Linked DNA regions of Oryzias latipes. The protein of the gene in region 5 interacts with the protein of the main gene of each other region in a pairwise test. Links are inferred from orthologs where the notes say so. Each region holds a gene or a part of one and is shown on either strand. Other genes may lie near its edges.

What was found.
Region 1: the proteins of kat5 (region 5) and cep70 interact in binary tests that used the Homo sapiens proteins (3 or more experiments, as listed by UniProt). The link is inferred for Oryzias latipes from reciprocal best matches to the Homo sapiens genes KAT5 and CEP70.
Region 2: the proteins of kat5 (region 5) and pih1d3 interact in binary tests that used the Homo sapiens proteins (3 or more experiments, as listed by UniProt). The two-hybrid records come from large-scale screens. The link is inferred for Oryzias latipes from reciprocal best matches to the Homo sapiens genes KAT5 and DNAAF6.
Region 3: the proteins of kat5 (region 5) and odc1 interact in binary tests that used the Homo sapiens proteins (3 or more experiments, as listed by UniProt). The two-hybrid records come from large-scale screens. The link is inferred for Oryzias latipes from reciprocal best matches to the Homo sapiens genes KAT5 and ODC1.
Region 4: the proteins of kat5 (region 5) and pla2g4a interact in a two-hybrid assay, tested with the Homo sapiens proteins (2 studies listed by BioGRID). The link is inferred for Oryzias latipes from reciprocal best matches to the Homo sapiens genes KAT5 and PLA2G4A.
Region 6: the proteins of kat5 (region 5) and apbb1 interact in binary tests that used the Homo sapiens proteins (3 or more experiments, as listed by UniProt). The link is inferred for Oryzias latipes from reciprocal best matches to the Homo sapiens genes KAT5 and APBB1.
Region 7: the proteins of kat5 (region 5) and rchy1 interact in a two-hybrid assay, tested with the Homo sapiens proteins (2 studies listed by BioGRID). The link is inferred for Oryzias latipes from reciprocal best matches to the Homo sapiens genes KAT5 and RCHY1.

What each region holds. Positions count from the first base shown.
Region 1 is NC_019860.2:1,157,418-1,160,520, reverse strand, and holds part of cep70 (centrosomal protein of 70 kDa), read left to right. Parts: intron 1-1,115; coding exon 1,116-1,291; intron 1,292-1,359; coding exon 1,360-1,419; intron 1,420-1,533; coding exon 1,534-1,627; intron 1,628-2,175; coding exon 2,176-2,228; intron 2,229-2,302; coding exon 2,303-2,371; intron 2,372-3,103.
Region 2 is NC_019875.2:2,473,855-2,477,971, reverse strand, and holds pih1d3 (protein PIH1D3), read right to left. Parts: upstream 2,801-4,117; 5' UTR 2,619-2,800; coding exon 2,520-2,618; intron 2,448-2,519; coding exon 2,381-2,447; intron 1,577-2,380; coding exon 1,477-1,576; intron 1,339-1,476; coding exon 1,242-1,338; intron 901-1,241; coding exon 815-900; intron 636-814; coding exon 506-635; 3' UTR 455-505; downstream 1-454. Other genes in the region: MICOS complex subunit MIC26, read left to right, coding at 3,168-3,761. UniProt on the Homo sapiens protein: Plays a role in cytoplasmic pre-assembly of axonemal dynein.
Region 3 is NC_019880.2:20,006,623-20,010,756, reverse strand, and holds the start of odc1 (ornithine decarboxylase), read left to right. Parts: upstream 1-1,334; 5' UTR 1,335-1,483; intron 1,484-2,193; 5' UTR 2,194-2,342; intron 2,343-2,431; 5' UTR 2,432-2,444; coding exon 2,445-2,543; intron 2,544-2,668; coding exon 2,669-2,842; intron 2,843-2,932; coding exon 2,933-3,105; intron 3,106-3,185; coding exon 3,186-3,402; intron 3,403-3,477; coding exon 3,478-3,561; intron 3,562-3,674; coding exon 3,675-3,837; intron 3,838-3,915; coding exon 3,916-4,019; intron 4,020-4,108; coding exon 4,109-4,134. UniProt on the Homo sapiens protein: Catalyzes the first and rate-limiting step of polyamine biosynthesis that converts ornithine into putrescine, which is the precursor for the polyamines, spermidine and spermine.
Region 4 is NC_019862.2:15,098,526-15,102,025, forward strand, and holds part of pla2g4a (cytosolic phospholipase A2), read left to right. Parts: intron 1-63; coding exon 64-194; intron 195-277; coding exon 278-386; intron 387-1,218; coding exon 1,219-1,403; intron 1,404-1,497; coding exon 1,498-1,687; intron 1,688-2,430; coding exon 2,431-2,588; intron 2,589-3,500. UniProt on the Homo sapiens protein: Has primarily calcium-dependent phospholipase and lysophospholipase activities, with a major role in membrane lipid remodeling and biosynthesis of lipid mediators of the inflammatory response.
Region 5 is NC_019872.2:15,162,042-15,166,072, forward strand, and holds the start of kat5 (histone acetyltransferase KAT5), read right to left. Parts: upstream 2,801-4,031; 5' UTR 2,702-2,800; coding exon 2,681-2,701; intron 2,601-2,680; coding exon 2,534-2,600; intron 1,890-2,533; coding exon 1,821-1,889; intron 1,609-1,820; coding exon 1,457-1,608; intron 1-1,456. UniProt on the Homo sapiens protein: Catalytic subunit of the NuA4 histone acetyltransferase complex, a multiprotein complex involved in transcriptional activation of select genes principally by acetylation of nucleosomal histones H2A and H4.
Region 6 is NC_019871.2:9,726,916-9,731,038, forward strand, and holds the start of apbb1 (amyloid-beta A4 precursor protein-binding family B member 1), read right to left. Parts: upstream 2,801-4,123; 5' UTR 2,640-2,800; intron 302-2,639; 5' UTR 280-301; coding exon 1-279. UniProt on the Homo sapiens protein: Transcription coregulator that can have both coactivator and corepressor functions. Adapter protein that forms a transcriptionally active complex with the gamma-secretase-derived amyloid precursor protein (APP) intracellular domain.
Region 7 is NC_019867.2:25,253,050-25,257,034, forward strand, and holds the start of rchy1 (RING finger and CHY zinc finger domain-containing protein 1), read left to right. Parts: upstream 1-1,185; 5' UTR 1,186-1,279; coding exon 1,280-1,330; intron 1,331-1,747; coding exon 1,748-1,867; intron 1,868-1,967; coding exon 1,968-2,083; intron 2,084-3,460; coding exon 3,461-3,539; intron 3,540-3,632; coding exon 3,633-3,677; intron 3,678-3,774; coding exon 3,775-3,833; intron 3,834-3,985. UniProt on the Homo sapiens protein: E3 ubiquitin-protein ligase that mediates ubiquitination of target proteins, including p53/TP53, TP73, HDAC1 and CDKN1B. Mediates ubiquitination and degradation of p53/TP53; preferentially acts on tetrameric p53/TP53.

The DNA.
Region 1 (3,103 bases), on a different chromosome or scaffold from region 5:
TTACGTTAATAATTATACCCAAATATTGCATAAACATTTGTCATTTTTTGTAGCAATGATCATATACAAAAATTAACTTTGGAAGAAAATTTTTAACGTTAAATATACTTCATAACGTCGATTTTAAGTATTTATTTGTTTGGGAAATTTGCTTACGAATAACGTAAATTTGATGGTATTTCAGTGAAATTTATGTTATTTGTTTGTAAACATTGCATACAATAAATCAAATAATACGCAGATATTTGGAAATAAACATAGGATAGAAATACATCAATTTTAATGTTGTCTGTTTGCAAATATCGAATAGAAACGACGTAAACTTGATCTTCTTTGGTTGCGAACCTCGCAAAGAAAATTACGTAAATTCTGTTATTTGAATGCAATCGTCCCAAATGAATGTCGTGAATTTTCTTTTTTTTTTTTTCAAATAAATTACGTAACTTTGATGCTAACCTAGCATATGAATAACGTAAATGCTGATATTGCGATGCGAGCCTAGCATCCAGAAATCCCTTATATGGTAAAGGAGTTCTGGAAAGTGGTTGGGGTCAAAGTGCGCAGAGCTTTGGTCAACAGACTGCCGTCTTCAGCTCTGGACCTGCGGTCCTTCCTCTGTGGTTCTGGTTCTGGGTTAAGGCCGTGTGTTTGTGATCCCTCTGTGGTTCTGGTTCTGGTTTAAGGCCGTGTGTTTGTGATCCCTCTGTGGTTCTGGTTCTGGTTTAAGGCCGTGTGTTTGTGATCCCTCTGTGGTTCTGGTTCTGGTTCTGGGTTGAGGCCGTGTGTTTTTGGACCCTCTGTGGTTCTGGTTCTGGTTTAAGGCCGTGTGTTTGTGATCCCTCTGTGGTTCTGGTTCTGGTTTAAGGCCGTGTGTTTGTGATCCCTCTGTGGTTCTGGTTCTGGTTTAAGGCCGTGTGTTTGTGATCCCTCTGTGGTTCTGGTTCTGGTTTAAGGCCGTGTGTTTGTGATCCCTCTGTGGTTCTGGTTCTGGTTCTGGGTTGAGGCCGTGTGTTTGTGAACCCTCTGTGGTTCTGGTTCTGGTTTAAGGCCGTGTGTTTGTGATCCCTCTGTGGTTCTGGTTCTGGGTTAAGGCCGTGTGTTTGTGATCCCGTCAGCGCCGCTGCGAGCAGCTGCAGCAGAAGCTGCGCAGGAAGGAGGAGGAGGCCGCCAAGCTCCGCTGGAAGCTGCGCTTCGCCGTGGAGCAGGAGGAGCGGCGCTTGGCCCGGCGGAACCGCAGCTTCCAGGAGATCTGCGGGAAGACGTCCCGGCTGCAGACCGCCGCCGATCAGCGGTGAGGGCGCCGCCCGCCGCCGCCACGCTCTGCTGCGGCTCTCACCACAGCAGCGTTTGTGTCTGCAGGGTTTTGGACGTCATCGACTTCTACGAAGCGGAGAGGAGGCGACTGATGGAGGAGCTCAGGTGAAGCGGGACTCCTCCTCTTCCTCACTTTCAGGAGCCTCAGTGTCAAAACGAGGAGATTAGGATTAGGAATAATCCCAAAGGGGTTTTAGTATGAAACCTTCTCCTCTGCAGGTCTGCTAGAGGAGGAGCCGAGGCCTCGGAGCTGCAGGACGGTGGGGAACGGACCGCCGCCGGCGCTCCTTCATCCTTCAAAACAGACCTCAAGGCAAAAACTCCCAAATCCAAATCTTTGACTTCCAACAGGAAAAGCTGGAAATTCCATTTCCTGGAAGCTGAAGAGGAAGATTGGAGGAAGACCAAAGGGAATTATTGGTCCACCTGACAGGAAGTTCATTTAAGCAAAGACTTTTATTGTCTTAAGATGCCCAGTTCAAGATTAAAGCTAAAGTGTTTTACCAAAATAAAAGTCTGGGTCAAAAAACGTCACGTTGGCAAAAAAAGACTTCTAAAAAATCATTTAAATCAATCAATGTAAACATAAAATATTAATATCCATTTCAGCCAAAGAATCAGATTTTTCTGAGGGAAGATTGATAAAATACAAACGTTGAAGCATTTATCTGAAGTGGGATCGGTTGAGTTTTGAGGTCACATGATCTTTTCTTGGCTTCCTAAAGTTCTTCAGAAACATCTCTTACTTTGAAGGATTTCTTTTTATCTTTAATGAGGATAAAACCAAAAGTTGCCTCTAAAACAGTCTTTAGGCTTATCTTTTAGGGTCCGGCTCTCACCAGGTGGCGCTGTCCTCCTCAGGTGTTCCCACAAAAGGAGAGGCGCACGCAGCTGGAGGCGGAGCTAGACTCCAGGTGGGTGGAGCTCCTGCTGCTCCTCAGGGTTCTGCTGGGAGGCTGATCCTCACGCTGCCTCTGTTCCTCTGCAGACCGACCCGGGAGCAGCCGAAGGGCCGCAGACGGCGCCACCTGGAGGGGCTGCAGCCGGGCGCCGCCAGGTACGGCGGCAACAGAAGCTGTGGGCTCTGGACTCTCTTTGGGATATTTACTCATAGAACTGGTTATAGTCCATTTTTATTTAGATTTATTTATTTTAGATTTTTTTAAACCACATTAAGTTGTAATTTGATCATTTGGGGAAAATAATGACAACAAAAACGACCAAAAACAGTTTCCACCTTCATTCTATTTGCATCGTTTTGACTTTTTACTGCTCAAATGATCCAAATGAATCTGTTTTAAAGAGAAACCTGATCAAATCATTGGTTTTGATATAAAATATTGTCTTCCTATCGTTCTTTTCTGCTCCTTTCAGGCTACAGAAACATTTAGTTTCCCTAAAATACTGTTGGGAGCTGAAAAAAATGAAATCTTGACAGACTTTATATTTGAACGTTTTTGTCTGAAGTCTAAAGCTAGGGACACAAAAACACTCGCTAAAGGCATTTGGGGTTCACACTGGACCAGCAGGGAGGGGCTTCTTCTACTCTTTACCAGCGCATGTCGAAGTGGTGCAGATCTGGCGATTTCAGCGCAAAATGGTTCCGTTTCTTGCTAGTGCCCTCCGTACGCCGAATAGGGATTAGCGTCATGTAAGGGGAGGGGCCTCTTCTTATCTTTGTTTAAAAAAACAAACGCGTGTCGTCGGGTTTGCGATAAACCAAGTACCCTGGAGTTTGGCGGGGTTCTCCACGTCTGTTTGACCTTAACACGTGTGTAATGGCCGTGCC
Region 2 (4,117 bases), on a different chromosome or scaffold from region 5:
CAATATAAATACAGTACGGACAATATATTGTGACAGTGTACCACTGTCACAATATATTGTTCATATAAGTTATATTTAATCAATTCTGAGCTTGATGACTTCGCTTGTTTGTATTTTCTATTTATTTAAATTCTTTAATGATCAATTTGGATTCACTTTAGTAAAAAAAAAAAAGAATAATATTTTAATCTTCTAATTTAAATCAGTACTTAGACAGTACTAGATCAATCCCATGATATTTGTTATAATATGTATTTGTTTGTCACAGTGTCATTGGTGTCCTGCTAAAACACTTGGGTTGTTTAGTTAACATAATTCTTCATATTTTGGGTTGCATTTTGGAGCAATACTTTTTTTTGTAGCCTGAGTTTTTCTTATTTTCCATAATAGCCCAGAAAAAGTTAGTTAGAGTTGGGTTGTGTGCTTTTTAAAAATAGAGTTTTATGGAAACCAGTTGCCTATTGTGGGTTACCATTTTTATTTGTGCTACACATATTTGTCTTCATTATTGCATGTTGAAAAAATCCATGGAGCGCTTCATCAGCAGAGTCACCTGCAGTTCTTCCCTCTCACTGAAGAACTGTGCCCTGCTCTCCTCAGCGTGGACGGGATGAGGAAGATGGAGGCCCAGTTTGCTGACGTGAAGAAGACAGAGAAGAAAAAAAAGAGAAGGAGAGCACAGTTTGTTAAAATCACAGTTCTTTAGGAAGTAGGGATGAAAGTAATGTCATATCATAAAAAGAAATGTTTGTCCTGATCTGCAAAGTCTCATCCATAAGAGTTAAATAAAAGAATATTTCCAAGCATTTCCTACTATTTCGGTGTCCTCAGATCAAGGAACTTCTCTTTTACATCCAAGACGACATCTGTAGCTCTGGTATCTGGAAGCTGAATTTTGACCTGAAAGCAGCAGAAGTGTGTAATGTATATTTTTAAGTTTTATGTCAGTCCATTAGCAGCTCAAATGGAATTTTAGCCTCAAAAGAGGAATTAAACTTAAACTACAAAAGTTTCAAAGGAGAATTTTGACAAAACACAGAACCTGCAACATCTTTTACTAAACGTCTTCCTCCTAAATTAGTGCTCTGAAAAACTCATTTGGACGTATTTTCTTCAATGTCTTCTCCGTTGTCACACTTTTAAAAAGTGGTTTTCAGATTATGCTTTGTTCCTTTTTGGAATTCACTAAAAATGACACTCTGCGCTATTTGAAGACAATAAAAGAAAACTGAATACTGGACCAGCAGGGCTTCACAGCACATGGAGGAGGGGTCTTTCCCACTGAGGCCAAAAAACACATCTTCTGTTCCCACACTTTGCTTGAGGATCATTTCATACCTGTACACAGATATTGCATATAAAACACTCACTTTGCACATGATCTGGAGAATAAAGCTTACAATTTTCAATAATAATAAGCAATTTCCAGTGAAACAAGCTGCCTCAAAAGTATGTTTTATTAGCAGTGAGTCTCACTCAGGCTGTGGCCGCGGGTCAGCAAAGTCCATGAATCGAGAGCCTTCAGCCACCTCCTCCTCACTCCAGATATCCTTGCTGCTCTTCTTTATACTTGGCTCTGTGTCAGCAGCGTCACACGTACATTAACATTCACATTTAGCCTCAGAATGACACATTTTGAGAAGGTTTGTGATAAACAATAAAGAATATTCAATAGAGATGCCACAATTCTTTATTAAAAACTGAACAGTATGTTACGCCATAAAACCTAATCATGGGAAAAGTGAAATGTTGCATCCCTGCAGCATACCAGCTGTTATGCTACGTTTAAGAGGGATTTACTGTTTATTAAGGATGCAGTGATACACTTTCAATTCAGTTTAAATTTCAATTTTTGCGTCACGATTTTGCTTGCTTGCATGATTTGTGTATTGCAGACCAACAACAACAACAAAAGAAATTCTGAAAAACCCTTTTTTTAAATTGCTAAATGACAATAAAGAAAAACTTTTCAGATGGTTTTAGCTTAGCCTTGTGTAATGTAATATAACAATAAATACATGCAATACAACAATGAACAATAAATTCTTCATCAATTTAGCACAATACGTTTGACACTTTCAACGTAACCATATTGGTACGCAGTAGAGATGAAACGGTTCACTTGACCAATGATGCAGTTCAGCCGTGTAACACACGGATCGGTTTTGGTTTGTAATTGTGACATCCTTAGTGTTTGTTGCTTTATTGCATTACACTAGGTTCAGTATAAGCCACATAAAGGGTTTCTCTGCATTATCTGCAAATTTAAAAAAAGGGATTTTCCCAATTTTTTGTGTTTTTTGTCGTTGTTTTGTAATGCACAAATATGTATATTTTTAAAACATGAATGAGACCCAGAACTTGAATGTTGCCCTTTTACCTTCTTTAGAATTCTGTGGAGGGAGACCAATTTGTCCAGGGCCCAGCTGTGCAGATGGAGTCACTCTCTGGTGAGGTTAAAAAAAGTATTGACATACTTCCTCATTCTCTCTTTCTGCTTAAGTGTTTTTAAATCTCACTTGATCCTCTTCCTCCTCCTCTTCGTCTTCTTGCTTGGTGGATAACAGGGCAGACAGAGCCCTGAGGGTCTCCTCGGATGATAAACCCACATAATCCATTGGAAAGAAAACGTGTTATTCAAAAGATGGATGTTAAAACTAACACTAGCCTTGTTTAGGTGTAGAATGTAGTCACCAAAAAAAGGCCACAACGACCGTAATATCTGACAGACACTAAAGTTCGCAGCTGCTATGCTAACTGCACGTTTGGAACGTTGACGCTCGTCACCATGGAAACAAATGGGTTTCAGGCTGCCATGGAAACCAACAAAAAAAGAAAAGAAAAAATTTATTTCTTTAGCAAAGATGAACTGACTAAAGAACATTTTTGTAACATTATTTCTTTTTTTAGAACATTTTTAACTTAAGGCAGGAAGAGTCTAGAATATTTTTTATCCAACAATCAGATTTTTTTAATGGAATATAAAGTCGTGTTCATAAAAAAAAACAACTTCAATCACGTTATTTTTATATTCATTTAAATGAACAAATACAATTTTACAATACAAGTTTACTGTCAAAGCAAAACGAACGCAAATATCTGGGAGGCGGCGTCATGATTTGTGTCCCTTCTCGGACACCGTAGCTGATGTATGGCCCTCAGGGATCATGTTCAAGGTGACAGGTAGTGCCATGCCGGGATCCACGCGCTTGCTGCCGCTCGTTTGGGCTGCTGATGCCGCAGATGGTGGGGAGAAAGAGCCCGAGGCCCGGTTAAAGCTGGATGACCTGTCCCTGTACACCGCTCCTCAAAAGCCTCACTATGTGGAGCCAGCGGCGGGGCAGCTTGAGGAGCACGTCGCCACCCTCAGGAAGTTAGTTGAGCCCTACACGGGATGGTGTCAGGCCACCGTCGGTAAACTGAAACCCAAAGTGGAGAGTCTCGTGCAGTCCGGAAATGACTCCTACGTCTACCTGCAGAACCATCCCAAGGATTTCTACGCGCAAGCGGGGATCATCGGCTTCACGGGGCTCCTCGGATTGTTCCTCGCAAGAGGCTCCAGGGTTAAGAAGTTAATCTACCCCGCTGGTCTGATGACCGTGAGCGCCTCCTTGTACTACCCGGAGGAGGCGGTGACCATCGCAAAGTCAACCGGGGATTCGGTGTACGGATACGCGGTTCGGGGCTTCGCTGCGGCGGAGAAGCTCCTCAGCCCGCAGAGCAAAGACGGAAAAGGCAGCAAGGCAGAGACGAAACCATGACGGATGGATGGATGGATGGACGGACGGACGGACGGACGTCCCCGCGCAGCAATAACGGATCACGCGGCAGCAGCTTTTCTAGTACTGTAGATGATGGACCTGGACAGGTTCCACTCTGATGTCTGCACTATTCCTCATGCTTTACTCAGGCCAGACTTTGCCTTTAATAATTGACCTCTGCTACGGATTTGAATGTATATTTAATGATAAAGATCAATATTTTGCTTTGGATAAAAGAACTTGAAACACTTTAACGGAGTCTCACGTGCTGTCTACTGTTACTTGAATAGGACAAAAAGTACTAAATGAAGTTACTGAGGAAATACAAAGTAAATATATTTAAAGTTTTTTCATAA
Region 3 (4,134 bases), on a different chromosome or scaffold from region 5:
AAGCTCCGGGTGTAGTGTTCCTAACAATTCACCCAAAACACCATGACAAAGACAGTGGCTCACTCAAGTCTACAAAACCAGAATAAACAGAAATCAGCCAGTAACCTGATGTAGCCGACATGAGCAGATTTCTCTTCAGTTTGACGTCAATTCAGCTTTGATCTTTTTGTGCTTGAATATATGTTTTTAAATGACTGCTTTCTTGGACATGTGAAGATCAGAATAATAAATTTTCAGGCTGGCTTGACAACTTTTGTGCATCTCATCTCTCCAAGCAGAGAAGCGGCTTTGGGACGGGCGGAGGCGGCTTTTGAATGAACAGTCCTGAGAAAACATGCAACCAATCGTGAATTGGTGTTTCCAGTCAGGTCCAGACAGAGTAAAGGCGGATGTTATTCCAGCTGAAGTTCATCCAGTAATGATGACGTGTGACGTTATCATTAGTCACAGGCCGTGTTCAGGCGCAACAGTACAAGCACAATTGGTTAATCCGTGCGCACGGTTCACCAGATTTATTTAGCTACTGACAGCTGGAAGGCTCTGTAGTTTCTGATTCATGACTATTTGAATAAAGAAATCCATAAAAAGGCCGTTTTAAGATTAATTTTCTATTTATATGTCCTCTAACATCTTAAAATACCACAAGAACATGCCAAAGCACCAAAAACACTATTTTCATTTGAGTGGGTCTTTAAAAAATGGCTGTCCATTTACCTGTCTCTTGTTTAACCCTTGTGCTATCCTAGGCACTTTACCATTGGGAGTTGGGTCATCTAGACCCATTAGACAGTGCGCTGAACCGTTTTTCGTCAATGATTTGTGATCCTCACTGGTGTCCATGGATTACATGAAATCTTTCCACCTTTGTCATGGTAGGGAGAACACGTCAATGGAAGGGTGGGGTCATCTAAGATAGAACAAGGGTTACTATGTAGTGAATCCTGAAGTTTCTATTCAGTCCTCTCCAAAGAAAGGAAACATGCTCATCTGTTGTCTATCTGGTATTTTACTCTGTTTCCACATCAGCATCCCGTATCAACAATGGTGTAATTAGTGTCTCCTCTGACTAAAATGGTTATGGGGAGAAGGGGTTATTACAAGTTTTGAAAGGTCAACTTGACTGGAATGAATTTTAACACCGGGACAGAGTTCCGGCTGTCCAAAATGATTAACACATGAAGAAAAAACGTTCAAAAGAACTTTAAACAACCTCCGTGTGGCCCTTGTCTGATGTCTCACCACGTGGATCAAGTAACGAGCTTGAACTGGTTTCTGAATATAGCGTGGGCCGGTTTGAGCTGGCTGCGTTGCCATGGTAACGGCCGCCCTATAAAGTCTGTTCTGCTTCTGCTACCGGGTTTCCCAGGCAGTCAGCCGGCAGAAAGGCGTCGCGAAGAACGCGCTTCTTTTCGGCGGGGATACCACTCTTTTTAACGCCCGGTCCTCGGTCTCATGGACATGCTCTTTGTAAATGCTTTTTCAGGTAAAGGAGAATTTTTAACAAGCCGTTGAATCGGCTGCAGTTTTTATGTATGTACGCTTAAATTCGCCTGTAACGATGTTCTTTTCGGTTAAAGTACCGACAACCAGGCTAATGTCCGGTCGGGCCCGCGTGCCTGTTTAAGGCTAAGAGAGACGTGGATCTCATTAGGAATTGAACCGCAGGACGCGGTTACAAAAGCGTTACGTGGCTGTTTTACATCATGGCTTTGCTAACTAGCTTTCTTTGCTAACATTGCTAAAGCTAGGAGAGCGCAGGCCTCTGGCTTTGGTTTGATGTCGTCAGCGACTCTGATCTTAAACATTTCTGTTTCTACGCTTTAAGTCCGGTTTTATTCAAATATTTTAGTAAATGGAAAAAAGAGCTCGTCTCTTGGCACATGCATTTACCAGTCCAGGCGGAACCGGTATGTTGACGTCATCACGAAAAGCTCGGACAATGATTGGCTCATCCTCTTCCCATGACGCCGGACCCTGTCTGTGATTGGATAACGGTTTTTCGTGGGCGTGTTTGGGCCTCGTGTCGTTATCATGGCTTTTCTTGGAAAAATGGCAGCTTTGCTGAAAGTTAGAGACTAACTCAGAACAGGAGGTTCAGGGGTCTGAGCTGAACACGTGCAGCGTATTGTAGATGTAAAATGGCTCATCTTGCTGCTCATTCACTGATTCAGTGACTTATTTTTCTTCTGACAGAATCTCCACAGTAGGAAATCGTACCGCGGCTCCTCTACAGGCCCTAGCATTGAGTCTTATTTAAAGGGCTTTAACTTCTTCACCGGTGAACCACCTTGGCCTCAAAGACTTGATTAACTACAGCAAATAATTGTGTCTCTTGTATCCAGGTAAGTTTTTTGTTTTTTTCTTGTTCATTTGGAACTTTGGTCTTGTGCAACCTGTCTGTATATGATGACAGCCTCTCATTTCTGTTTAGGTCACACGTTACCATGAACACTGAAGTGCCCACACTTGAATTTTCTTTCCTTGAGGAAGGGTTTTCTGCTTGGGATATTGTTGAGCAGAAGATCAATGAGTCATCCCTGACCGTAAGCATCCTGTGCTGTCAATCATTGGCAAAGTGATATGCTGTCTGGAATGGTGATAGATAAAGAAAATGGCTGTTGTTTTAGTTACACTACAGCTAAAAAACTGTATCGTTTGGATATTGCAGGACGACAGGGATGCTTTTTACGTCTGTGACTTGGGAGATGTTTTGAAAAAACACCTCCGCTGGACGAGGGCGTTACCCCGTGTTACACCTTTTTATGCCGTCAAGTGCAACGACAGCCGGGCTGTTGTCATGACTCTCGCGTCTCTTGGAACTGGCTTTGATTGTGCAAGCAAGGTGTGTCTTTAAAGAAACCTTATTAAGTCTAATATAGAATTTCTCTGTAGTAGAAGTGAGTTTTCAATGCAGTTTGTTTTCCTGCTTTAGACAGAGATTCAGCTTGTTCAGTCCTTGGGAGTGCATCCAAACAGAATCATCTATGCCAATCCTTGTAAGCAAGTTTCTCAGATGAAGTATGCATCTGCCCACGGAGTGGAGATGATGACTTTTGATAGTGAAGTGGAACTCATGAAAGTCGCTCGTTACCATGACAATGCCAAGTAAGGCTCTTTACCTCTAAGAAATGAATGCTACGCTTTTGCATTGCGGCCCTTCTAATAATACATTTGTTTTGGTGCAGACTGGTGTTGCGTATTGCCACAGATGACTCGAAGGCGGTTTGTCGTCTGAGCGTAAAGTTTGGGGCCCCGATAAAAGCTTGTCGGGGCCTTCTGGAGCGTGCCAAGGAGCTGGGGCTGGATGTCGTTGGCGTCAGCTTCCATGTTGGGAGTGGCTGCACTGATGCTGGGACCTTCGTCAAGGCCATAGCAGACGCACGCTGTGTCTTTGATATGGGTGTAAGTAAGGACTGCTGACATCTAGACACAGCTTAGAACGTGTTGTGAAAATAAAAGCATTCTTTGAACTCACAGGAGGAGCTGGGCTTCCAAATGGATCTCCTAGACATTGGAGGGGGTTTCCCTGGTTCAGAAGATACTGAACTTTCATTTGAAGAGGTATGAAGCCCCATGAGATTCTCAAAAGTTTATCAAACAGCTATAAGAATTTTAGGATTTGAAAAGGAAGAGTGGTTGTAAATATTAAACAGTATTTTTTTGTCTTCTTTTAGATCACAGCAACGATAAACCCCGCATTGGACAAGTATTTTCCCGTTGACTCTGGTGTGAGGATCATTGCCGAGCCCGGGCGGTTCTATGTGGCGTCTGCGTACACACTGGTTGTAAATATTATCGCCAAGAAGGTCATCATTGATGAAGAGGCTCCCATTGATGGTAATATTGTTGACTGAAGCTTTTTTTATTTTGGAAATGCTTTTTAACCTTAAACTCTAACCATAAACTCTTCTGCAGAGGAAGACAACAAGACTCTGATGTATTACGTCAATGATGGGGTGTATGGATCCTTTAACTGCATTCTCTATGACCATGCTCACTGTTATCCAGTGCTGCACAAGGTTAGAAAAGGCCAAAAAAAAATCATGGCTGTGCACGCGTGAACTCAGTAGTTTATTTTTGCCCCCTTCCATTCTGTTGTTTTGGACAGAAGCCTAAACCAGATGAGACCATGTA
Region 4 (3,500 bases), on a different chromosome or scaffold from region 5:
ATCTCATCCATTTTATTAAATTCCTTGTAAAAATTTGACAAGTCTTTCTTTGTGTGTGTTCAGGTGGAACGGAAAACCAGGAGGCAGAGGAGGAGTATAGCCGCACTGCTCAGGCCAGTTGGGTTCACAGGACGTTCACGTCCTTCTTCAGTGAGTCCGTTCTCTTCAACACTAGGGAGGGACGAGCTGGAAAGGTAAGTCTTACAACTGCACATAAATCAGTCTATATTCTAACTTTAAGCTGCAAATGTCACTATTAGAAAACCCTCTCCTGCAGGTGCATAATTTCATGCTGGGCCTGAATCTGAACACAAGCGTACCCTTTTCTCCTGTCACTGGGGTAATGCCCTCTTCAGTACCTGAGGAGGAGGTGGATGCTGTAACAGGCAAGATGAATAAATGATTTGCCCCTCTGTCCATTGTTTTTTGCAAAAGTTTCAATAAAATTAAATGATAATTTGGTTCATTTTTTATGATATTGAGCTACTCAGAATCACTTAAAATTCATTGTAGTATTTCCCTTTTCTCTTTGCATTTGTATGTAACTAAAGAAACCATAAATATCCTCTGCAATGTTTTGGCCTGGAACTATTAAAAATAACAACTAACAATATTTTGCCAAATTTAAGTCAATAAATTATTTTTTTAAGATACTTTTTTACTTTCTGTTTTATTGTGAGCTGCATTCCACTGATCAGGATGGTATCTTCAGTCTTTTTGTCTTACATGACCGACATATTACTGTTGTAATGAGTAGCAGGGGAATAAGTTACATTTCTTTGAAACTATAGACTTAAGTTTCAACCTGTGAAGTTGGCTGAAATAGCTTTTACTAGTGATTGGTTGTGTTTAGTAAAAAAAAAAAAGAAGAAAATTCCCATCCGTACATCATTCCAGTTGTGGGAAAGTGTAATGGTTTGTTTTATTACATACCTACATAAATATGTCATAGTTTCACTTCAGAATTTGAAAATGTTGTCTCATAGTATTTAGAAAGTCTCACTTCACCCACACACATTCACACACCGATGGCGGCTCTGCTGCCTAATATACTGCCGTCAACCCATAACCACCAGCAGCATTTTGGGGTTCAGTGTTTTCAACACATGTGTGGGCAAGATGGGAACCATTGCCATAATGAGCTTAGTAGATGTGAATGTTAGTGTAATTTCACCAATACTGAACCCAAATATTTGTATTTTTGTGTCCTTTTTTCAGATCCGGATGAATTTGATCGCATTTATGAGCCTCTTGATGTGAAAAGTAAGAAAATCCATATTGTGGACAGCGGCCTAACATACAACCTCCCGTACCCTCTCATCCTGCGGCCGCAGCGTGGTGTTGACCTCATCATCTCTTTTGACTTTTCTGCACGACCAAGTGACTCTAGCCCCCCATTTAAGGTTCAATCCAAACTGTTTTTATCATACGAAATAATGATAAAAAATTTTGAAAGAAATCGCAACGTTTTTTACTTTTCTGTTTTTTGTTCTACAGGAGCTGCTGTTGGCAGAAAAGTGGGCCAGAATGAACAAGCTTCCATTCCCTAAGATTGACCCCAAAGTGTTTGACCGTGAGGGCCTGAAGGAGTGCTACGTCTTCAAACCAAGGAAGGGTGAAAAGAACTGTCCCACCGTCATCCACTTTGTCCTGGTCAACATCAACTTCAGGACGTTCAAAGCACCCGGTAAGTGTGTGTGCTCTATTTGGGAAAAGGTGTTTCCTGAGTCTCCATGGGGAAAAAAATGCAAAGGTTACATCATTATTAGAATCTCTTACCTAAAGTTATGCGTCAAACACAGTAATGATTAGTCAGCAGTGGATGGTGTTTTCTATTTTTCTTTCAGCTTCATATGAGCTTCTGGAATTATAAGCATCTTCTCAAGGTCACTGAGTTTTTGTGGGAAATGACGTGTCAGTTGAGAGTGGGCTGTGGTCAGTTTTATGACCCTCTCGAGTAAAATCTCGTTCCTGCAGAAATAGCGTGTCGGTCTTGGAATCTTCACTAGTGGGAGAGCTTGGTTAATAAACCTGCTATACATCAACAGCCATTCTGTGACTCACTCTCCACTACATGGTCTATAGGGCATCTGTCCAAACACTTCTGCTGTGTGCTTATGGAAGCTACATCACCCCAAAAACATCTGAAGGGAAAGAGCACTTTCAGTAATTGCTTGCAGCTGTATTTTTTTTAAACTGCTGCTTCTTCCTGTGACTGGGGCTTCATGTTTTTTCTATTAATGTGCAAAGAAATCAAAAGGTAGCTGAGTTTTTGGGGAGCAATAAACCTTTTTCATCGATTATAATTGACTAAAAATCTTCAGAGAAAGTATGAAACTGTTTTGGGGTTATAGAATGTGAAGGAATAGGTGAGCTGAAATGGTGAAATTTAAAAAAACATATGTTTTCTGTTCTGTGTTCTGCATGCAGGAGTTCCCAGAGAAACTGAGATGGAGAAGGAACTGGCAGACTTTGACATTTTTGACGACCCTGAGACGCCGTACTCCACTTTTAATTTTCAGTACACCAACAAGGCATTCACACAACTCCATGACTTAATGGAGTTCAACACCCTTAACAACCTTGAGGTCAGTTTGGCACTTTTGCAAGAATGGCAAAGATAAAGTTTTAGCAATCAAAGAAACAAAATATTGCACAATGGTAGCATGTCTGAAGACTGTTGCAGTGTGTAAAACTCAAGATAACAGCTGATTATATGATGATCTATCCAAACATCTTACATGGACCGACTGATTAATGCAGCTACACCTTATTTGTTCATTCAAAGCTGTCAGCAGGACAATTTGCTTTGTGCTTGTTGCATTGCACAACATTAAAAATTACAGTCCCCAAAGGACAGTCTAAGCAAGTGGATGCAGTGCTGGGGGTGTGTCACCATGTGAGGTCATCCTAGAGTTTAGTTTATGAGTCAAAAAAAAAAAAAAAGTTTCGTTTATGAGTCACTTCCTTTTTAAGTGAATCCTCAGACATAATATAAAATACCTGTAAAAGAATAGTTTGTAGGTGTGAGCTCATAAAAAACGTGCTTCAAATGAAGACATTGTATATCTGTCAATTCATTTTTTTCTTATGCAGGTTATTTTGATGTTTTTATGACCTGCTAAGAAAACCAGTAGTTGCGAAATTCCCTGTAGCAGCCGACTCAACAAAAAAATTGAAGAACTTAAAATTGCCGGAAGGCACTCCTACTTGTGTCAATCTATTTGAACCCATGTTGAGGCAAATTCATGCAGTGTTAAAAATTTGACATGTAAACACAAAAAAACACATTACAGTGGAAAGTTTTGACAGACTGCAATTTGAAAAATGCAAGTCACTTAGGGTGTATTCAGACTGAACACATTTGGTTTGGTTAAAATAAACAGAGTTTGTTTCCCCCGATAATCCAGAACAAATTTTCAGTCTGAATACACCCAAGTCGATCCTTGTCTGGGACCAGGAACCGCTCTCTGATGAAGCCATGGATGAGCTTCAGACAA
Region 5 (4,031 bases):
TACTTAAAGATTCTTCTCATTTCTAGAAAGTTATGGTCTTACCAAGTTTTTCCACACACTGCTTCAGCAGTTTAATAACTTATTCAGGAAATAAAACAGTAAAGAATATTAAAATATGTTCTTTTTTAGGCACAGCATTTACATGAATAAATTATAAAATATTATAGTAATTAACATGAATATTGCAGAGTGCTGTGCTGTTGCATTTTGCCCCGTCAGCCCCAACATCTGTTTGCTACTCCTTGTGCTCTCAGACAGACAACTTTGACCAAACTGAGTCTCAGTTTTAGGGATAGCTCTCCGGTGCCACCATACTTTGGTTCTAGAAAATAAGTCTGAAACATGGACTGAAACATGAATCCTCACTGTTATGCAGTCACCTCACAGAGCACAGTTTGAAGAGAAAGCAGACAGCGCAGTGATTTAGGTAATTTAGAGACAACCCCCCCCTGAAATTATAATAACATTAAACTTTAACTGGCAAAATTTCAAACTTTAAAGAGAGTCCACAGCTCAAATAAAGTGTGAGGGTTGAGTTTTAAGGAGAGAGTCAATATCAACTCTACGGGGCGTTATTTATCCATTTAATTATGAGAACTATTCATTTTTTTAAGTAACAATTGATTCAACAATATCATTTTATTCCAATTTTAGTTATATTTGTATCAGAGGCATCTTGAGTAAAGCATCAAATAAATCTTGAACATTTGCTTTGTTGAATTTGATTTTTAACCATTTTGTTTCTCTGCTTTGAAGCTAAAGGAAGAATTCTAATCTACTTAAGTTTATAGCCTGTGTCATTTAGAAGAGAAACAGGGCAGCAACTATTGTCAATGCATGCTGTTCAAGAAGGATTTTGTCTGCAAAACACCTAACCCAAATATGTTGCAGATGACCGACATTGCTGAGTGTCGACATAAACCTGGTCTGTCTGTTTTTCATCAGACAGAATGAGCAGGAGACTGCAGAAGCTGCTTTACCAACTGACTTACAAAAAACCCAGAGATGCCATTCATGCTTTTGCCGTTCATGCTTTTGTTGTGATTGTGTGTGGCCCTTGAAATAGTGAGCAAAGACACATTTTCAAAAGAAAACCAGACTTAACAGCATACAGACAAAACTTTCCAACTATATATAACTATATATATACACTATATATATGTAGTGCTTGACAACACTCATAAAACAGAAACAGATTATGATAAAAAAAAAAAAGGTCCTAAAAACAAGCCTGGCAAGTATGCAAGTATGTTTTGTTTTTGTGACTGGAAAAAAAACCTGTAGATTCAATTTTTTATCAAAAAAAAACTCAACTTCAATAAGATGGAAACTAAGCAGTCAATGAAAATAGTCTTTCACAACCAACTGTTTTCCAACAGTACTGTTGGGGAACTGCCGTAAACATTTAAATGTAGTTTACTAATGCTTTATTATGAATCTTCAAGGGTAAACTTACTGGTACTACTTCTCTTTCTGCTCTTTCTGGTGAGCTAGGACGCGAGCCTGACAGTCCATTCTTTGTGGGTGTTTTTGCTTCTTTTTTGGGAAACTGGAGCTTCTTCATGTCCAGCCTGTCTGCTGTGACCCATTCATCCAAGCGCTTGTTGACTGCAGACACACACAATTTTACATTACCAACTAAAAGACCAACTGTTATGAAAAGATTATTTTTTTCCGTCCATATGAAACACGACCGAAACTAGAACGTTCTTTATGTGTTTGGAATCACTTTTGTTTTTTCTGAAACAATGACATGAATGAAAAGTCTAAGCTTTCTTTAATGATAGTGAAACAGGAAAGATGAACTTTGCTTTACTCACAGTCAATGTAGTGAACATAGAACAGCTTTCTTCCAGAAACCTCCTTCAAACTCAGGATCTCAGCCAAAGCTGCACAAGTAGAAAAGAAATTATAAATACTATTTACAAAGTAAACACACAGCTATTTTATCTTAATTCAAGTGGAAAATGAACATTCACAGTTATAATTAGTGCAAGAGTGGTTTTGCTTTTTAGCGCCAAGATAAAAATGGGTATTGCTTACTTTAATCACACTGATGATGTGTAACAAAGCTAGTACTTTGATTTAAATAGCTTGGAACTACCTCAGGAATTCAACAAACTAGATGAACTTATGCTCTTTTAAGAAAAAACATTGTCATCTTTAACTTCAGCTCTCATGTCTACATGATGAACTGTACTGGACAGCAGTGAATTATCACAATTTATACAATCCTTGCGTATGAAACTCAACCTTTTTTTAAATTCGTAATTTAAAATGTAGGGCTTTTGAAAAGCAAAATGTAATTCAGACTTATCTAAATTTCTAGTGTTTAAACATTGCGACTAAATGATTTCCAGCCCAAAAACACAAATAAAGAAGTAACAAAGCAATTTAGACCTAAACGAACAGTTTCTACCATAGCAGTCACTGCATTTTATCTGAATTTGTTTTTAAGGTTTTTTTGAAGGCCGTCATATTTGTTTGTTAGTTAGCATTAGCTTAGCTCTAAGCACGAACGAAAAGTACTTACGCCACTCATCCTCATGTTCCTGGTTTTTACGAAGAACGGGGAGGCGACAGCCTTCCACAATTTCGACCTGTTGATAAAACAGCAGATGTTAGTATCCAATAGTAGCTGTTATTTTTAAAAACAATAATATACGTTTCCATAACCTACCGAAGAACAGTTGTCCGCCATTTTCGTCGTTGGTGTAAGCTGCTGCAGTGTGTTGTGGGAAAATGCCGGTCCACATCAAAGACGTAAAACGCAGTGAGACTGAGCATGCGTCGCTAAGCGGAAGTTATGGAGCCAACCCGGAAATTTTTTTTTTTTTTTTTTTATTGATGCAGAACAAAAGTGACATACAGCAAAAGAACAAGGAACAATAAGCTGTACATCAAATGTTCAAAATAAACGCCAGGGGATATGCAAGCAAAAAAATAAACTTACACTAAATTATACAGCTGAGCAAGGTGATACGTTTTAATAGCTTTTTTGTTTGTACTGGGGGAAATGGAATGTAAGTAACATCTAACTTGGGCTAGTAAATCAAGAAAATTAGGAGCTTTATTGCTGAATTTAGATTTGTGAATATAATACTTGGTTAATAAAATTAGAAGATTTATTAAATAAAATTGAGATAAAAATGTCTTATCATAATTAATGTAACCAAATAAGATGTTTTTCCAGGTTAAATTAAAATGTGGATAAATTTGAGTTTTTATCAAATTTGTCATTTTGTCCCATATTTTTTCAGTGTACTTGCAGGTCCAAAAAATATGCACCAACGTTTCCTCAGACTGAGAACAGAAAAAACAGTTTTTATCAATATCCCTTTTTAGCCTTTGCATATACTGATTTGTTGGATAAAACCTATGAATGATCTTGAATGAAACCTCTTTCACTTTGTTGTTTAGAAGATATTTGTTTGGCAGAAGCCAAACCTTTTCCCAACACATTTGACCATGAAGTGAAGTCCAGAAAGTTATGGCCGGGGATTCAGTTTTGAGCTCCTGCTGGAACAGTCTTCGGATGGTTTTGTTTTGATTTCTCAAAGCAGAGAAGCAGAGTTTTCCGACAGCAGTGTCTGTCACATGAAGCTGTGGTTGGGGAGCAGATGGAGTAGGAGTTCCTTTATAAAGATAGGTGAGGTTGAGGGAAACGGCATCAAAAACAACCGAAAAGTCCTTCATAGAAACAGGGATCTGGTAGAACTGAAGGAATTCGGTGTAAGTGTAAAGTTGACCTTGTTGATTGAATAATTGACTAACTAGTCTGATATTATTATCAAACCACTGTTGGATAAAGATAGTTTTGTTTTTGTAAAGAATATATCTATTGTGTCAAATGTAAAACCTGTGAGGAGAAAAATTATGTTTATAAATCATGGACCAAGCAAGTAACATCTGTTTATGAAATGAAGATAGTTTGATGGGCACTTTGTCGGGCTTGTAGGTGCAGAGGAGTAAAAAGTCGAGGCCACCAACCTGGGAGAAAATATAATTGGGAATGAAGTTCCACAGAGAGT
Region 6 (4,123 bases), on a different chromosome or scaffold from region 5:
CTGCTCTTCGTTTCCCTGCTGTTCTTCCTGAGTGATGTTCTGGTGAGGAAAGTCATCCTCGTTTCCATTCTGACTGATATTACAGTTGTGATCTTGATCCTGATGATTCTCAGCTACTTTCCGGAGCTGGTTCTGGCCTTCTTTGACCCACTTGGCATTGTTGCTTGTAGACTCCTGGTCGCACCAGTGGCTGCCTTCATTCAGCTTGTTTTTCAGCTCTTCCTCTTGCCTTTGTTTATTTACAACATATGTCATATCTTCATCATCATGACCACCCATGGTAACTTTCCATGCGAGATATCTGATGAAGAAAGAAATGTTAGAAACACAGCGTTAGAATTTCAAATAGCATGTACTTTGCAGGCAGTTTAGGACAACAGTTATTTTTTAAACACAGTTTTTATTTCATTTCATGTGGTTTTAAATTATAGCATTTTAAAGTGATCTATACTTGTGCAATCATGTGTAGGCACAGGGCTAAAGAAAGACAGAAATAAACACAGAATGAAAGAAAGACAGACAGAAAGACAGACAGAAAGACAGACAGAAAGACAGACAGAAAGACAGAAAGACAGAAAGACAGAAAGAAAGAAAGAAAGAAAGAAAGAAAGAAAGAAAGAAAGAAAGAAAGAAAGAAAGAAAGAAAGAAAGAAAGAAAGAAAGAAAGAAAGAAAGAAAGAAAGAAAGGTTTTGTTTTATGAAAAAATGCTGAATACATTTTTAACTGTTGGCATATTTCTAAAAAAACACAGGATGAAAACAAGATACAAAATCATTGCAGACAGGCTAAATCAGAAACCTTTTTTGTTATTCACTGCAACCGATTTCTAAAGCAGGATCCTTTTTCAAACGACCCATAATTTCTTTCCAAAAAGCTGAGACACAAACCACAAGCTTACACTCCCAAAATGGCCTGTAAAACCGAAGATTCTTTACAAATCTTAACTAAGACTAACTTAAGCCTGTGATGAAAAGGCTAGTTTTCTTAAAGAATCTGCTAAAAATGTATTGCAGAGTTAGTGACCAATTTCCAACCTTTTTTCTTTATTTCTTAGAAATGCTGTTGCTTTTATAGAACTGAATTTTGATAGCCAAGTCCTCAAACTGATTGTAAGTCAGCAGCTGGAACCAGTGAACACCAAGAAAAAAAAAGTTTGGATGTGGATTAGGCCTGGACAATAAATCGCAAATTTATCGTTATCGCATTATCAAGCTGTGCATTACGCATAACCGCAAAAGTCGGTGAAAATTGCATACCTTAAATGTGCTAAAACAATCTTATGACACCTTGAAGTATTTAATAAATCAAATAAATCCCTTAATGTTATTGCCCAATCAGATGGAGCCCTTTTAATGTTAGATGCTCGCCTCCTATGCAGACGAGGGTCATTTGGAGTAGAATTTAAGTTATGTTGACTTTTATTTAAATCAAACTGTTGCAGTGAAATGGAATTGATGCTTTTGGTAGTTTTGCTATTCGTTCATGCATCGCAAGTTCTATCATCATCGCAATATTGATCACTATTATCGCAAATTGTGAGTTTTCTTTATATCGTGCAACCCTAATGTGGATATCAGTTATATGAGAAATTTTATGTCAAATATTAAGATCATCTGAGCAATATGACAGGTATCCGGTCCTGCATATAACCAAACTCTTGCAAACATACAAAGTAGCTGTTATGCTGTTGGCCTGCAGAAAAGTCAACCAATGATTCTCCTGCACTCTGATTAGAGCTAATGCAGCAGTAAAACTATTTCTGATTTAAAAAACAATAACAGCCACAGCCTTTAGAGAAATAGGGAGCTGCAGCAGTCGCATCAAACCTTGAGAAATGATTTTATTTTAGTTTTAAGACACTGTCTTGGAGGAGGCAAAACCAGAGCAGCACAGTCATTCAGTGGAGGCGTAAAAAGACAGTTTGACAGCTGAGAGTCTTTTTTTTATTTTTTTTTTAACTACTTTGACAATTGCATCCCACTTGATCAGTTGACATAACGCCTACCTGGAAGCTGTGGAAGCTTTATGAGGAACCAGCTGTTTGGTTTTCCTTATTTTATATACTTAAATCAAATAATAATTCATTTAGGAGAGGGGGCATGCAGCAAAGCTTTGAGATAATGTCAAATATCTGATGCTGCAGTTCCTACATATTTCCTATAATTTAATAGCACGTCGTTAGCATCTACAAATATGCTTTTCCAGATTGATTAAAGCAAATCCATATGGGTAGAGTACGTTTAAAAGAAGCAAGTGTGTTATTATTCTTCTCTATGGTCGTCAGGGATTCCATCCGGAAAATTATACTCATCCTTTCCATTTGCTTGCTTGCTAGCACGGCCTTTTTAAGGTTTAAGATAATACGCTCAAGTGGCAGTAAAATGGCTGGCCCTGACAAATATTTTGAATTCAGAAAAGAATGAATACAAAATATAAAAGATAGAAGACAAAATTCAGCGGCGGATGCTATCGCCGCAGCTGGAAATAACGGCCACCATCCGCCGCCATCATCACCTTCTTCTCTGCTCGGCTAAGGGGTTAGCTTCGCCCCGCTAGCCAGCCAAGGCTACCGAAGTGAGGGTTTCAACGGTTGACGTCTCCCAGGATATTATCCAGAGCTGTTCAAAAGATAACTTACCGGTTCCACCAAACCCGCTGTGATCGATAATTGCTCTGGAGGCCGAGTTAACTACATATTTCCACGCATCGTGAGGTTCTGCTCGGTTCTGGGTGTTTTCAGGCAGTGATGGAGGACGGACTGCGTCACGGAATGACGTCACGGCCCGAGCCCACGGAGCAGGAAGGGGGGCTCCACGAAGCAGCCTCACCGTTTTTGGAGAAAAAGATCCATCCAGTGAGGACGTTTTTGACTTCATTACATGCCACATCAAACAATCACATCAAACATGAGAGATAGGTAAATATATACTGTATATGTAGTCTTTAAAGTATTGTACAACCAAAAAAAAAAAAAAAAAAATCAGAGTAACGGAGCAGAAAAAAGGAAAAGGTTACATAACTTTAATTTTATTTCTCTATTATTTCCCAACAAAAACTCAAAACATAAAGCCTACAAAACCTAAATTTAGCGTGGCTTTTTTATACTCTGCTTTCCTTTTCAAAAACCTAATTTCTGACCTGTTTTTGGAACAACAGACAGATAACGGTCAATTTAGATTATTTTATTTTTTATTTTTGCAGCCTTTAAACTTCATTTTATTATTGAGCTTATCAGGTTCAACATAAAATTGGCAAATAAATATTCATTTATTTTTATTTTTATTATGAAAAAAAAAAGTATAAACCGAAAATAAAAGTCAAATACAAGAAAGAAAACATGTTTTTTTTTACAGTTTGTTTCAGTTTTTAAAATAAATTGAAAACATTTCTTGGATCATTTTAATCAACCATTGTGTTAAATCTTTAGAACTCAAATGTTGTTAAATAAGAATTTTAACCTATTGCATCTACACAAAAAAGATATTTCCAGTGCACTAAAAGCTTAAATAACACTTATTAAATGTATTTTAAAATATCTTATTTTTTTAAATAAGAACAAAAACAATTTGGACTATTTGTTAATCTTCTTAATCAATGCTAAAATTCTTCTCCAAGCAAATTATGGATAAGCTAGATCAGGGGTGGGCAAACTTTTCCACTCGTGGGCCACAAAGGGTTCTAAAATTTGATAGAAGGGCCGAACCAGGAGTGTTTTGGTAATCTAAAGAAATAACACGCCATATAGACGAAAACGTTTTGATTGGAAATTAATATACATTTCAAAACAGGACATTTTTGAGTTTTTAGTTCAAAACTGTGGCTTTTGTTCTTATTTTAGAGCCAATTGCATGAATAGCTTGATGTATCGCGTTTAAAACACAAACTTCTAGAAATGCTGCGTTCATGTGGTGTTTGAATGATCGGAAGAATGAAAACCACTCCCAACACCACGTGGATGCTGGAGCAGGGGTCCCCCAAACTGTTTCTTGTGAGGGCCACATGATTCTTCTCTAATGTGTCAAATTTTAAACTTCTTTTGTCTTTCTTTTATTATAAAGCACTTTGGTACCCCGAGGGAGTTGTATGTGGGTCTGATCGCATGGCCAGATTGAAAAACAAAAA
Region 7 (3,985 bases), on a different chromosome or scaffold from region 5:
TATCAAACAACTTGGGTGTAAACGAGGTTTGTGGGATTTTCTAGAAGCAAAGTATTCTTGTTGTAATAAATATCAGGTTAGAATTTAATTTAAAACAAAAAATTGAGGTACAATTAAGGAGAAATCTAAAGGCGTGTTTGCTTTCACCTTCATTTTCCCCTTAACACTGACTTATTCATTTCAGTCTTTTGATAACATCATTGTTTCTGCTTTTACAGCAATATAAACATCAAAACATTGTTTTAATTAAATCTCTTGAACTACTGAAAATACTTTCTTGCCAGCCCTTTTGACACCACATCTTGGGACTTCAGTGGTTGTCTCTGCAAGTTCTGCAACCACTTGAGGGTTTCATCACTGATGCCCTAACTTTACAGAAATAAAGCAATAATATAGGGAGATTACCACATTGTACACATTTTCTTTTTTTAAAAAGTATGACTTAGAAAAAACTCTACCTAAATATTAATACATCTTTCATTGTAATAAAATTGAAAAAATTCTGTTTATTTAATTATCACAATGTTTAGTATAACTGTATCTCGTATAAGTTGCTTTTACCCAAGCAAATTTACAGTGCTTTTATTTTGGTAACATAAAATATATATAGGGAACAGTCAACATTGTCTGAGTTTTCCACAACAAAAAATTGTTCAGTACAAGAAAAAAAAATAGAATAAATGTCCCTTAACCAATACGGTTCTAAAAATATGTTTGAAGAAATAAAAGTCTGCTTATTTTCACATTTAAGAGGCCTTCTAAAAGTACACAAAAGATGCTGCACTAACAGCCAAAACAATGAAAAACGTCAGTCTTACAAACTCTTGATTAGTTTGCAGAACCATCAATACTTAAACCACTTCATTCTTTTTTATTCATCATTGCCAATTTCTGTTGTGTTTTAATAAATTTTACACACGATACAAAGACGTTTTAGTTGGACAGACTTTTTCTTTTTAGTTCTAGATCAAATTTAGTAGGAAAGCTTCTTTATTTCCCTTGAATATAAATAATACATTCAAGGGAAATATATTTTAAAATATAAATTATCTTGAGGAGGACATATACAGCATACAGTTATCTATTGACAGACGCTACGGTAATAAACTCACATCCCAGACCAGAAGGTGGCGGTAATGCGCCGTTCTGTTGTTTGCCACCCGCTGTATATATATTTAAAAAAAACTTTTAAAAAAACGTCCAACGAAGAAGAAGAAGCGAGCAACCTTCTCGCCTTCGTGGCAACGGACACTTCGAGAAGCTTGGGTTTGGAGACAGCATGGCTTCACCTGTCGGTTGTGAACATTACGTACGCGGTTGTTTGTTAAAAGTGAGTACCCGTTGTAGCCTCAGCGGAAGCAAAGCTGTATGCTAGCGTAAAATGAAACAAAGGACGGACAGGCCAGGGGGCTAACTCAACAACAACTGTAGTGGCAGACCCAGTCACCGTTTGTCCGGAGCGTTATGACAGTTTTGACAGATGGAGCTCATGTCCACTTTAAGATATTGGCAGGACGTCGAAGTTAATGGGTTCCATGTGTTTTGTTTAAAGGATATACACTTCATATTAAGTTTATGATTTTGCGACTACTGCTCTGCTGCTGCTTGTGTTCCTCAGCCGCACATTGCCACATCGTTATATAATTGTTAACCGACATTTCTTTAACGTTTCCTGAGATGCCTACCAGTTAAACCCCATCCAGATGTTGATGTTCCCCTAACGTTTGCGTGTTTTTGTGAACTCCAGGCGCCGTGCTGTGGGAAACTGTACGTGTGTCGTCTGTGCCATGATGCTCAGGAGAACCACCCGATGGATCGCTTCAAAGTCAGAGAGGTGCAGTGCTCCAAGTGTAACACCTTGCAGCAGGTAAGTTGCATAAATAAAATAAACCACCAGCTGTAGTTGATGACTTTTTATTTTTATGCACGTTACCCTAAATGTGTCCTGTTTGTGCATGCTTCTCTAGGCCCAAAAAACATGTCAGCAGTGTCAGTTACAGTTTGGGGAATATTACTGTGACATCTGCCATTTGTTTGACAAGGATAAGAAGCAGTACCACTGCCAGCCCTGTGGAATATGCAGGTAAATGTGTCATTAACGGCAAACACTCATCAACGGTTTACTAAATGGCGTATACTTATATGGCGCTTTTCTACCTTCTTCAGGGCCGTAGCGCTTTAGTCACAATCCCATTCACCCATGCACACATTCATTCACACACTGGTGGTCTCAGGAGAAAGTTAGGATTTTGTCTAATAATTAGAGGTGTAGCGACTGATCGACTTAATCAGTGAATCAATTTATATTCCTAATATCCAACAAGATCGATCTGTCTGAGGCAACAAATCGACTTAAACCACTATGAAACTGTTGAAAAATGAAACATACCCATAATATCTATTGAAAAAAATCTCTGTCTTTCTCTGTATCTGAAGATATTTGCATGCTTTGGATTTATCGATCGATGTTGTTCTGGCTGTTTTCAGAAACACTTTATTTTTAAAAATCTATACTTGATCCTAATTCTTTTGCTGTATGTTAAAAAGCTCAAGTACAATGGGATTGTCTGGTAAAAGAAAAGTTGTGCATTTCTAATGAAGAAACAAACAGGAAATCTAAACAGTTGCAGGGGAAACGTGAGTTATCGGTATCGGCTGGAAAAAATTATAACCGCCCATCCCTAGAAGAGACACCACAGAAGAGGCTGATTGACAAAACCAACAAGTCACAGTGAAAAAGAATCAATAAAACAGCGAGACAGCGAAATATAGCGAAGGAACACCACCGGTAGTGATAATATTCTCCTAAAGTTTGGTACATCAGAGGAGGAACGATGCAGGCAGCGCCATGAACAGGCAAAGCCCACGCCATGTAAAATTAGGGTCAGCAGCGAAAAGTCTGGATTGAAAATTTTAACTGAGGTCTAAAAGCAAAGAGGGGAAGAACCAAAAAAAAAAACAGACGTTGAAAAGAAAAAAAGGCTGCTGTTAGAAATAAACATAATTTTCAGGTTTAAAGTTGTTTTTTAAAAGTCAAATTTACTTTTTTGACAAATTTTCAATAATTCTTTCAACTTTGTTTTGGTCAAAGTCATAATTTCTTTGTTTGTTTTTTTTCAAATTTTTAATAATTCCTTGAAGTATACAAAATGTACTTTCAAGTCTTAATACAGTTTTCAAGTTTTCCTTCTCTTCAAATTTACAAAATGGGTTTTCATTCAGTTTATGCTGTTCCCAATTTCCCTCCATAAAAAATGTCCTGGATGGAGTTTTAGGTCAGTGAATCAGTTCGTTCAAAATGAAACGATATCACCTATGAATCATATCAGCAACCACAAATTCTGATATGAATCAAATTGTTAAAATTAATCTTTAAACCCCTAATAATAGTTCATTTTTTCTTTTTTATCCAGTTACCCACTAACAGATGAGTAAACTATGTGTGTTCTGGTATTGGCAGGATTGGACCCAGTGAGAAGTACTTCCATTGTGACAAGTGCAATTTGTGTCTGGCCCAGGATCTGAGAGGAAACCACAGAGTGATTATGATTATTCACCTCCTTCTGATTCACTCTAATGGAAGAAGTTCTCACTTTGTTTTACTGACTTTGGTTTTTTTTGATTACTTTCAGTGTGTCGAAAATGTCTCTAGGCAGAACTGTCCGGTTTGTATGGAGGTATGAAACCTTAAAGTACATGTAAAACTAATATTGGATTTTCGTCTTTATTTGAGCCCAACTGTTTTTTTTTTGTTTGTTTTCTCTTTGTCAAAAGGATATTCACACGTCCAGGATCGGTGCTCATGTCCTTCCATGTGGCCATCTTTTACACAAGTGAGGCGACTTTTCTTTTCTGTTGGCTTAGGTTTATGTGTGTTAACTGCAAATAACAGTTTACAGACGAGCTGCAATGATTTCAAGCTATTTTATAAATACTTTAAACAGATTTCCTTTTAGAAGCACACAAATTAACACCACCAATGAGT